3 linked regions of the Canis lupus familiaris genome follow. The main gene of each other region encodes a partner of the protein of the gene in region 3 in a complex. Links are inferred from orthologs where the notes say so. Each region holds a gene or a part of one and is shown on either strand. Other genes may lie near its edges.

Region 1 (3,656 bases), on a different chromosome or scaffold from region 3:
AATAGCCATAGAAAGGCTTTTTATGCAAATGTTCATAGCAGTGTTCATAATAGCCAAAAACTGAAAGGAAACTTCATAAACTGGAAAATGGATAAACTGTGTTCATAGAATGGAATACTACTCTGCAGTCAAAAAGAACAAACTACTGATGCATTAATAACCTGGATGAATCTCAAAATATCATCCTTAGTGAAAAAAGCCTGATAGAAAAGATTTGATATAGCAAAATTCCACTTATAAAATGGAATGTAGGGAGACAGGAAGCAGGATTAGTGGATGCCTGGGGATAGGAAAAGGGATTGACTACAGATGGGCACCAAGAACTTTTTGGGGATGATGGAAGTGTTCTTAACCTGCATTGTGGTGATGGTTTCACAACTGTTTGCTGATATTCATCAAACTGTATACTTAAAATGGGTTAATTTATTGTACGTGAATGATACGTCAAAGCTGTGTTTCTTCTTTAAACTTTCAAAGGTTTTAAAATTTGGAAATTTGTTTTATAAGCTATTTACTTCTCTTAGCCTGAATATATAATAAAACCTTGAAAGATGTGAATTTGAGGTATTTGATTAAGCTCATTACCAATTTTGATCTTCTGGTTCCCAGGTGTGTTTAGATGGCATCATAATTCTTTATTCTATTTTGAAGCTAATTAGACTTAATATATCTTATTTCAAAACCTATGCTGCAGGCTAGAGGTTTTAGTCTCTTTTAATTCTATGTTGGAAATAAATTTTGTCTTTGAATGATTTTCAACAGGATTTGAAGCCACAGACATTTAGAAATGCATATGACATACCAAGGCGGAATCTTTTGGATCACTTAACAAGAATGAGATCTAATCTTTTGAAGAGCACCCGCAGATTTCTTAAAGGACAGGATGAAGGTTAGATCATGGTTTTAGTAATGGTATTTTTTTTGTGAATTTCTTACTTTATATTGAAAAAATATGGTATGGGAATATAACTTTTAAAGAATTATTAGTAGTATTACATTTTCTTTTTAAATTCAAACAAATGAAGTAAGGAGTCATCTCTGATTCTCAACTTTTTTTTCTATCATCACTGTTGCCTCAAATTCTATTCCCCCGAGGTGACAATCTTTATTAGCAGCTTACTTTCTTTTCTTTGGCTTAGTTCATGCATTCACATGCACACACAAAATCATTTTCTTGTGATACACTAGTTAGTATCTGGTGGTTTAGCTTGGATGGTCAATACGTGTCCTCTTCTTTCAACAATATCTGTAGCATGTAGTACAAATCAAGTCAGATGAGAATTTAACTCTTTGCCATCTCTGATATAAGCATTCCAACTATAGCTTTATATAAAAAGGATTATCTCTGTGTATGTCTTTCCTGTAAATTTTGCTATAATTCTACTTCTTTGGAATAGAGAGAAGAGACATTCCTATTCATGGTAATGTTAACACATCATTACTTATTTTATACACTCAAATGGACTACAATATTTTTGCTTTTAGAAGATAAAGTCAATTCTTTTAAATTTTACTTTAAAAAAATCTCAAAAAGATTTCATTTTAGTCACAATATTTATAATGACAACATATGAATAGTGAGGTTAACTTTTGTTGTTGTTCTCTTCTGTTTGAAAAGATCAAGTGCACAGTGTTCCTATAGCACAAATGGGGAATTACCAGGAATACCTCAAGCAAGTACCTTCTCCACTAAGAGAACTTGATCCTGATCAGCCTCGAAGGTTGCATACATTTGGCAACCCCTTTAAGCTAGATAAGAAGGTAAACTTGAAATGTTCCATTGTATAATTCATTTGTGGATTTAACAGTTCTTAATTTAACTAAAGTAAGCTACTTTTCTTGGTAGACTAATAAATGTCAACATAGTTATAATACAGTTGCTCTAATGGGGATTGGAATTAGTTGTACCATTTAAAAACTGTATGTAAATCTAGGGAAATTATATATTTTTTTGTTACAGGGTATGATGATAGATGAAGCAGATGAATTTGTGGCTGGACCTCAAAATAAACATAAACGACCTGGAGAACCAAATATGCAAGGAATCCCTAAAAGACGTCGCTGTATGTCCCCATTACTAAGAGGCAGACAACAAAATCCAGTTGTGAACAATCATATTGGAGGAAAAGGACCACCTGTACCGATGACTCAAGCACAGCCAGATCTTATTAAACCCCTTCCTCTTCATAAAGGTAAGAATTTAAAAACAAACTTTATTTGCTGCTTTTTGTTTCTTTTGTGGGGATGAGATTTTTGTAATAGATTGTGGAAGAAATTGATTGATAAAGCCCAAGAGTGTCTAGAGAAGATACTTGTTTATTTTAAATTAGCATGTGATCATTTTGTATGTCTTTTTAAAGAACATTTGTTGGACATTTCTTATGTTTATCATGCTTTATTATAGCTAGCCATAATCTAAATACCATTTATAAGTCTGTTAAATAAAAAATTCAAAATACCGTTTACAAGTCTTAAGTATTTCAAAATAACACTTATTAAAGGGGTATTAGCAATACCCACAGAAAGATGGTTTTCAATTTCAGGTTAATTCAACAACTAATTAGGGGCACCTGAGTGGCTCCGTGGATGAGCGTCTCAGGGTGTGACCCTGGGGTCCTGGGATCAAGTGTCACATCAGGCTCCCCACAGGGAGTCTCCTTCTCCCTCTGCTTGTGTCTGTGCTTCTCTCCCTGTGTCTCTCATGAGTAAATAAAAAAAAAAAATCTTTAAAAAAAAAACAATCAACTAATTATTAAATACACGTGCTATTATGAACAGTGCTAGGCATTGAGGTATCATAGTGAACAAGACAATAGTGATCTCTGCCTTTATGATGAGTGAGGAAAGATAGTCATTGAATGTTGAGTTAGAATGTGATGAATGTTATAAAAGGTGGTAAGATGATTTAACTTAGTTTGTGAGGTCAAGACCCTTTACTGAGGAAGTTATGTTTAAGCCAACATTTAAAGGGTGAATGGGAATTGTTTCACTAAAGCTGTGCATTTAGTAGTAGTGCTAAGCAGTATGCTAGGCACTATAATATGCTACAGTAGTAGTATAAGAAAAATATGTGCAAACAAATATACAAAAGAGAAGATTATAGGAACTGAAAGAATTCCAGTTTAGCAGAGGTGTTCAGAGTCAGATAAGGTGAGAAATGAAAGATAGGCTGAGGCCAGATCATGGAGGGCCTTGGAGGCCGTCGTAAAGATTCTAGACTTTAAAGACGAGAATTTTTTTTTTTTTTAAGATTTTATTTATTCATGAGACACACAAAGAGAGGCAGAGACACAAGAGGGAGAAGGAGACTCCCTGCGGGGAGCCCGATGCAAGACTCAATCCCAGGACCCCGGGGTCACACCCTGGGCTGAAGGCTGGTACTAAACCCCTGAGCCATGCAGGTGTCTTGACAATGAGAATCTTTGAAAGATTTTGAAGAGCTAGTGACCTGACCTGATTAGCATTTTATAAAAAACAGGCCGACTGTACTGTTTGGAATATTGTTTGGGAAGAATAAGAATGGATTTAGGGGAACCCTTAGTGAATTAATGATTTCCTTAAATATAGGTAGTGATCATTTATGGCTTATAGCTATAGCATCATAACTGGTGAGAAAGCAAATATTCTATAACTCCTGATGGCATTATACAATACTA
Region 2 (3,656 bases), on a different chromosome or scaffold from region 3:
ATAGTTCTCACAATTTATCCACACATCCTTTTTCCCTTAAATTATCCTACCCATATCCAATTCACTTCATTGCAAAATCCCTGTCCTTTCACTTCATGATTTTTGCCCACAAAACATTAAAGGATAATTATAAGTTATAGTTTCAGCCAGTTGCTTAAAAAATGTTTTGATCCTAAAGAATTAGAAATTAAATCAAATAAAAAAAAATAAGTAAATAAGTGGGTTTCTCTACACAAAAACTAGTAGAAGAGAATATCCCTCCCACCCAGCTAACTTTTCTATGTAGTGTAACAGTTCTCTGAAAGCATGAAGGAAGAAAAGAACACTAAACAATATAATTCCTTCAACCCTTAAGGAAAGATTATTTTGGCCAGGAGACTGTTTTGAGATGGTCTAAATATTAATACTATTCTACTATTGGCCTTACAAAACTCACCCCCCAAGTTTTTTATTCATGTAGGTACCTTTTGAGATGGACGATAACTTGAATCAATGCCTCGAGCCAATGATTCATCAAGCAGTGCCTTGAGCTTTTCAGCAGAATCCTTACTCTTTGAATGTAAGAAGCCTAGTGCTTTCAAAAAAATGGGATCAAGTTCCAAGTTCACGGTAGCAGCCATTGCAAACACCTGAAGAAAAAAGGGGAGGGGGGAATTAAAGACAATGAACAGTTATCTATTTTATTCTTTTATTTATAATAGGCAATATTGTGCCCAAGATACAAAATATGAAATGTCTAAAAGGTTATTACAGGAAAAAAGTAAATGTCTTTGTTTTCCCTACCAAATTCTTTTTCCCCGAAGCAAGAACATGATCAGTTTTGTAGGTATTCATATCCATGGCTAAATTTTAAATCCAGATAAACTCTTCCCTGCCACAGAGCCCCCTCCTGTTTTAAAATATACACTTAGAGTTCAGTATACAGGAATTTGATGTGTTTAGGTCTAGCTGACATCAAAATTTCTTCTCTCAAACCTGATTTCCACTGCCAAAAAAAGAAAAAAAAAATTGGTGGGGATGAGGTATCACAGAAGGGCAATGGTTAGAGGAAGCACCAAGTGATGAGCTATAAAGGTCACTGCTACAGCTTTAATTTCAACTATGTATTTTTTTAATCTCCTTAGTCCTCAGCTCCAAACTTGAATGCCTCAGAAAACATTCTAATGATAATCTTATTGGATCACACTTAGATTGTGGTATCTCGTGCATTAACCTATTTTTAGCAAGGTTTCTGAGGAATGGTACCATAACTACTATAAATTATAAATAAAATTATACATATATATTTATATATATGATATAAAATCTCCCCATAGGACCTATGGTAATGCTCTGTGTCATTAGAAGCTTGAAATATAGTGAAGATGTACATCAAAGGCTTATGAAATTCCTTAAAAACAAAACAAAACATTAAAAAGTTTTGTTTTCAGTTAATACCAATGCTATCGTGTGATTCTACTTCTTGTGTCACTTTTTCAAATACTTCTCCAGGCAAGGAATTATTAAAATAAAAGTGTATACTTTGTGTTCAATCCTTTGATCAATATTCTAGGGCTTGAAGTTGTCTTCTATCCTTCAGGTTAATATTGTAATAATGCAACACACTTGCACTGTTAGAGTTATGGATCTGTCAGCAAATTCCACAGTAATCTCTCATTTTCAGGGGTTTATAAAGCCATTAAAACTTGCTGTAGGTTGAATCTTGGCATATGAAAGTTCCGACTGAAAATGAATTTTGTTGTTCCTTACCCTTCTACTTCTCCCCAATTCCTCTACAACTTTGACAGGAAATACACACACATACACACACACACTGACACTCTTACGCTTTTTTTTTTTTTTTTAAAGTTTTCAAGAAAGTATTAGCTACCTATCTGATAGCCTCAGAATAATTGTCAAATTCTGTGCTCTACTAAAATATTTGAATCATTCATGAATCCAAAAGCCAATACTAAAAGAAAAATAACCTATCTCAAATAGCTGTACTAGTAATTTAATGAAAATCGAGACACAACCTCTGTCACTTCTTAAAATTGTATTATTCTATACATCACATATAGATAATAGGTACAGAAAGGTTATTTTTAAATTTACTCAGGTATAGGCTGGTCACTATACATATTCTCAGGAGAAAACAATTCCCCACTAAAATGTCCATGATGAAAAGAATAAACCTGCCATTCCTCCTGAGTGCTCAAGGGGAATACAGCCTAATTTTTTTATTGGCCTAACTTTTTATGGCTAAAGACCATAGTGTTTACTCACCCAGAACAATGTGTTTTATGAGGCTGACCAAAGGGTTAATACTTAGAAGACTCCCTTTAATATGCTAGAAAAATCATTACTTGAAATTCTATGCTGACAACCAGAAGTGTTTACTGTTATGTATTTCCATAATCACATACAAAAGGTTTGCATTACAGATTAGGTGACAAGAGTCAGCATGTAGATTATAAAACTATAGAAGTAGTATCATCACACTAACATTCCAATTGGAACCTTTGAGTCAGTTCTTTTTATACAACCCTGCAATTATAAACCTGAACACGATTTGTACCCATGTCCTAAATTACTAACATGTCCCTCCAACCCAGTGGTTTTCATAATGGAATATACAGGAAGAAAAATGTGAGAATTTTTAATTAAAAAAATAAGCTTTTAGTATGCAGAATGATAGTAGTATATGCATATAATTGGTAACTAACATATATATGAAGTATGCTCAATTTTATACACATGGAATAATGAAACAAGTTTGAAGGCCACTGCTTTTGTCTATCTAGCAACTTCTAGTTTCCCTTTCCCTATTATGTATACATCAAGGCTGCTTTATGGTACATACTACCTTTCCCTTGAGAAGCCACCCAGTACTATCAGCTCAGATCTTCTCTCGCTCCCCACATTAACTTCATTGCTAGCTGCCCATCATCTTCTAGCCCCCAATCATTACCAATATATTCCCCTATTTTTCTACTTTTTTTCTCAAGCGCTCCTTCTATCCTTTTACCTTTGCTATTTCCCCTTGACATCACCTTTTTACCACCATCTCCCAAATGGTGTTCCTTTAACTTTGTATTGAAAGAGCAAAGAGGTCTATGGAGACTTAATTCCATACTGCTGTTTTTGGAAAAACATTCCATGACCACCATTCATCATCATCTTTCCTTGAAATATACACCTGCACCTTCAAAGTTGCTAAGTATGGAATCATGCTCATTTTCTTCCTCTTCCCTATCTTCATATTTGGCAATGCTAAAATTGCATCTATATTGATGATCTTCTCTAGCTTCTTGCACTCAGTTTACTTGGATCTTCAGCCCTCCAGGAGCTTCATCTTCAGCCACTGAAACCTGAAACTAGCTACAACTATTCTCCTTTTTGACTATAATCTTCCATCATTCTATCTCTTCCACTCTTCTGATCCAGAAGCCTCTTCAGGGTACCAGGTCAACCCTCCTTTTGGGTTTTTTGTTTGGTTGGTTTTTTGCCCCATTTCTTTCTTCCCATTCCACCTGCACTTTGAATTTATAGAAGCCTCCAGTTCCTTGTTCCCCCTGCTTTGTCCAATAATGGTACCTCCTTGCTCCAAGTCTTTCCTTCATCACAGAGAAAACAGTAGTTGGGCCTAAAATACAACATTCATAGTTATGTGTTTT
Region 3 (3,656 bases):
CCACAGTCTGCTTAACCATGAAAAACATGGGAAAACTTCCATGAATCAGCTGATAAAATCCATATCACAACTCTGCCTCTTTCCTAAATTACCTTGTAGTCTTGTCCAGATTTACTCTGTAGCGTGGAAGAAACATTCAGACAGACGGACTGAATTTTGCGAAAGAGTCCTGGTTTAGATCCGTGTTGAACCACGCCCTCTACCTTTAGTGCCAGCTGCTGGTTGTTCTGGACAGCGATGGGCTCTGCAGGGTTCCGTGGGGATGGCGACAGAGCAAGCTGGAATACCGACATTGAAATGAATGTTAAACAGCAGGAACAAGCTTTCTTCCAACAAACATGTTTGTGCTAATTGTTGTTTGTAGGTTACAGCATGACACACACAGCTAACAAGCTGACAGCTGGGACAGCCAGACAAATAGACCTTTAAAGTCAAGAGTTCCTTTTCCCTGATGCCTCTTTTAAATACTACTGTGTTTTCTACCCCAAACCCCAGTTTTGTGTGAGGGTAACAGAGGATCAGAAAACAGTGAGGGACCCTAGTCTTCCTCACTTTTGTACTGGGGCATTTCTTTGACAACCAACTCCAGTAGAGAAATGCACTATATAAATCTGCATGTCTAGCTATTCTTCTCTTTGTTCCTATGTAATTTTAAATAGATTAAATTCAAGGGCAAGTGAACTTAAAATTCTAGGATCACACATATGACCAAGTCACAGTGATAGAAAACTCAATTTCTGCCAATGAACCAAATGAAGTTTTTAACCTCTCATTAGTTTTTATTTAAGAACATATTAAAAAAATCCCAAGTACCCTTAAATTACAGAAAGTCCAAATTCTGCTAAATGAAAAGATGGAAGAGGTGGGTCTTTTTGATAATGCTCGAGCACTGCATCAACCAACCCTACACACATCCTACCTTAAGACATCTTTTCTAGGATAATCAATTTTCCTTATATTCAGGTCAAATCAAAAGCATTCGAATGGATATGCAAAAGTACACTGAAGACATTTACTAACAGGGATAATCTAGGAAATCTTTTGGAGGAGAGTTTTCCATTTTTTCTTAACAATTCCATTCTCTGAATTAAAAATAGCCCTTGAATTTTGAGTGGCTTAAATATTTTCAAATACTAGCTCTTATCATTGGCCAACTCCTCAAAACTTGATATTCACAGACAAAAGCACTCTACAGGTAGGGCTGGTAATATTTTACTGGACCTGATTTATTCTAAACAGGGTCTAAAGAGCCCAATGAGACCTGAACTCAGCACAAGATCCTTCTAGAGGACTATGATGAAAACCTCTCAGATTATTCTCGGAGACAAGGGACAGAGCTCCAGGTACCCAAACATCTATTTCACTGCACCTAGTGAAGTCAAATCTTCTGCAGAAGTTTTCTGCACCCTTTTCTTCCACCCAGTGCAGAAGGTTTGACTCCCAAATCCTATTATCTTCACCAAACCACCTGATAAAGGGAGGAACAAACTTATAACTAAAGGGTGTAAGTTTTATGAAAACCAAAGGTAAGATCCTGAAGCAGAGCTGTATTCCACATATTTTTCAGAAGATGAATGGGTTTTTAATCTGTATTAACCTTTGTATTCTTGCTATTATTACCTTGATGCTGGTAGACTGCAGTTTCTGGAAAAAGTATCTCTGAAATGAAAGAGGAACTTTCAGCAGGGAAATGATGGCATTGCAGAGGCATGCTGTATGCTGGCAGGAAAAAAGAAACTAAGTTAAATAAAAATAAATTTCCAAATTTCATCAACAAACAGTACTTTCAGGAAGAAGTTTAAAAAGTACAAATGGTTGTAAGATTATTGCAAAAATACATCCCAGTCAGGAAATGGGCATAACACCCAAATCTTTGTCAAATCATTCATGTCAGGGAGTACAACTGCAGATTTTTACTTTATTTTAAAGTACACTCAGTAAAATAAAATGTAGAAGAAAATCCTTAAGGCCAAATAATGTACAAATTTTGCATTTCTATAGCCTTAGGGCTATTAGATATATTATTATATAATTATTTTAGATACACAATAGAGTCATCTCATATGGTAAAGAAGGATCAAGAATATATGATAAAGAAGCCAGAGTAGTAGATTGATGTCCAAGGCCTAACACCAAATCTCATGAAGAACCTCACTGCCTGTTCTATCCCATGTCCACAGAGTGGCTTCCCCATCCTTGCGGCCATGGGTCCCTAGAGGTGAGTAATGGTGGAAACTTACTGGAATTCAGATTTACACAGTCCAACTCTACATTACTCTGAAATTTTACTAAGGGTACCTTATTTCAGAAATCCATTTCACAAATCTGAGTTTTGAAACTCACAGCATAGCTGCAGAAGAGAATCACTACAGTGAATCCTTTGAGTCTTAGTAAAAGGAGTCCTACAACTAGCATTTAAGAGTTCTAAGATATTGTATGTATTTATTTATTTCACTTTATTGAGGTACAACTGACATACAAAAGCTATACATATTTAACTTAATGTATCCAACTTGAAGAGTTTGGAGGGGAGTATACACCTGTGACACTGTCAAAGGTCACCCAGTCTAGTCCTCAATTTTGCTGATGATGCAGGTCACTGACACAGGTAACAGAATAAGCTGGAACTAGAACCTAGGTTGCCTGACTCTTAGTTCAATGATTTTGTTCTATTTTACCAATGATTCACCAACTTAATAGAAAAAAGTTACAGCACCATCAGAACACTTATAACCTTGGGTGACCTAGAACTATTCCTGGTGGTCTACCTTCCCCTCCTCAGTCTACTTCCCCTCAGGTTGAAAAGCATTCTACTATGCTGGCTGCCCTTCTAAGCTCCAGATTCCAAGCAGGGTGCGCCTCCTAGTTGTCTATGTTGTAAACAGTTTTATTTATTTATTTTTTAAAGATTTTATTTATTCATTCATGAGAGACACACAGAGAGAGGCAGAGACACAGGCAGAGGGAGAAGCAGGCTCCATGCAGGGAGTCCGATGTGAGACTTGATCCCAGGACTCCAGGATCATGCCCTGAGCTGAAGGCAGATGCTCAACCGCTGGACCACCCAGGCGTTCCTGTTGTAAACAGTTTTAAACCACTGGACATTACTACACGCCTGAAGAATCCACTCCTTACTGGTTTCAGGGTGTTGAACATTTTGTGCCCAATAGACCCATAATACAAATGGCAGGTCTATTACTTGACAAAACAACAACACAGATTCAAATACATTGGGTCTGTTTCTTCAGGTTTAACTGCTAATGCAACTTTATTCATCCTCCTGCAATAAGGGATCTTAGAAGCACTTGCAGGGACATCCTACTGGTGGTGGACGTCTGATGCCAAAAGTATTTTAGGAGAGACACCTCTTTGAAGGATGGACTAAAAGGGACCCCAAATGGCCTCAGGCTGTTCCCAGGCTAAGAGGCACCATTCTCCCTTTTAGAAGAATGGATGCAGGCAGCTTGGTGGCTCAGCGGTTTAGTGCCATCTTCGGCCCAGGGGTGATCCTGGAGACCCCGGATCGAGTCCCACGTCGGGCTCCCTGCATGAAGCCTGCTTCTCCCTCTGCCTGTGTCTCTGCCTCTCTCTTTCTCTCTCTCTCTCATGAATAAATAAATAAAATCTTAAAAAAAAAAAAAAAGAATGGATGCAGA

The links.
Region 1: INTS7 (region 3) and INTS6 share a complex: the UniProt entries of both Homo sapiens proteins name them as parts of the integrator complex. The link is inferred for Canis lupus familiaris from reciprocal best matches to the Homo sapiens genes INTS7 and INTS6.
Region 2: INTS7 (region 3) and INTS12 share a complex: the UniProt entries of both Homo sapiens proteins name them as parts of the integrator complex. The link is inferred for Canis lupus familiaris from reciprocal best matches to the Homo sapiens genes INTS7 and INTS12.

The regions. Positions count from the first base shown.
Region 1 is NC_049243.1:595,157-598,812, forward strand, and holds part of INTS6 (integrator complex subunit 6), read left to right. Parts: intron 1-762; coding exon 763-889; intron 890-1,618; coding exon 1,619-1,761; intron 1,762-1,960; coding exon 1,961-2,192; intron 2,193-3,656. UniProt on the Homo sapiens protein: Component of the integrator complex, a multiprotein complex that terminates RNA polymerase II (Pol II) transcription in the promoter-proximal region of genes.
Region 2 is NC_049253.1:13,355,210-13,358,865, reverse strand, and holds part of INTS12 (integrator complex subunit 12), read right to left. Parts: intron 986-3,656; 5' UTR 912-985; intron 630-911; 5' UTR 621-629; coding exon 465-620; intron 1-464. UniProt on the Homo sapiens protein: Component of the integrator complex, a multiprotein complex that terminates RNA polymerase II (Pol II) transcription in the promoter-proximal region of genes.
Region 3 is NC_049228.1:10,099,594-10,103,249, forward strand, and holds part of INTS7 (integrator complex subunit 7), read right to left. Parts: intron 1,720-3,656; coding exon 1,621-1,719; intron 279-1,620; coding exon 93-278; intron 1-92. UniProt on the Homo sapiens protein: Component of the integrator complex, a multiprotein complex that terminates RNA polymerase II (Pol II) transcription in the promoter-proximal region of genes.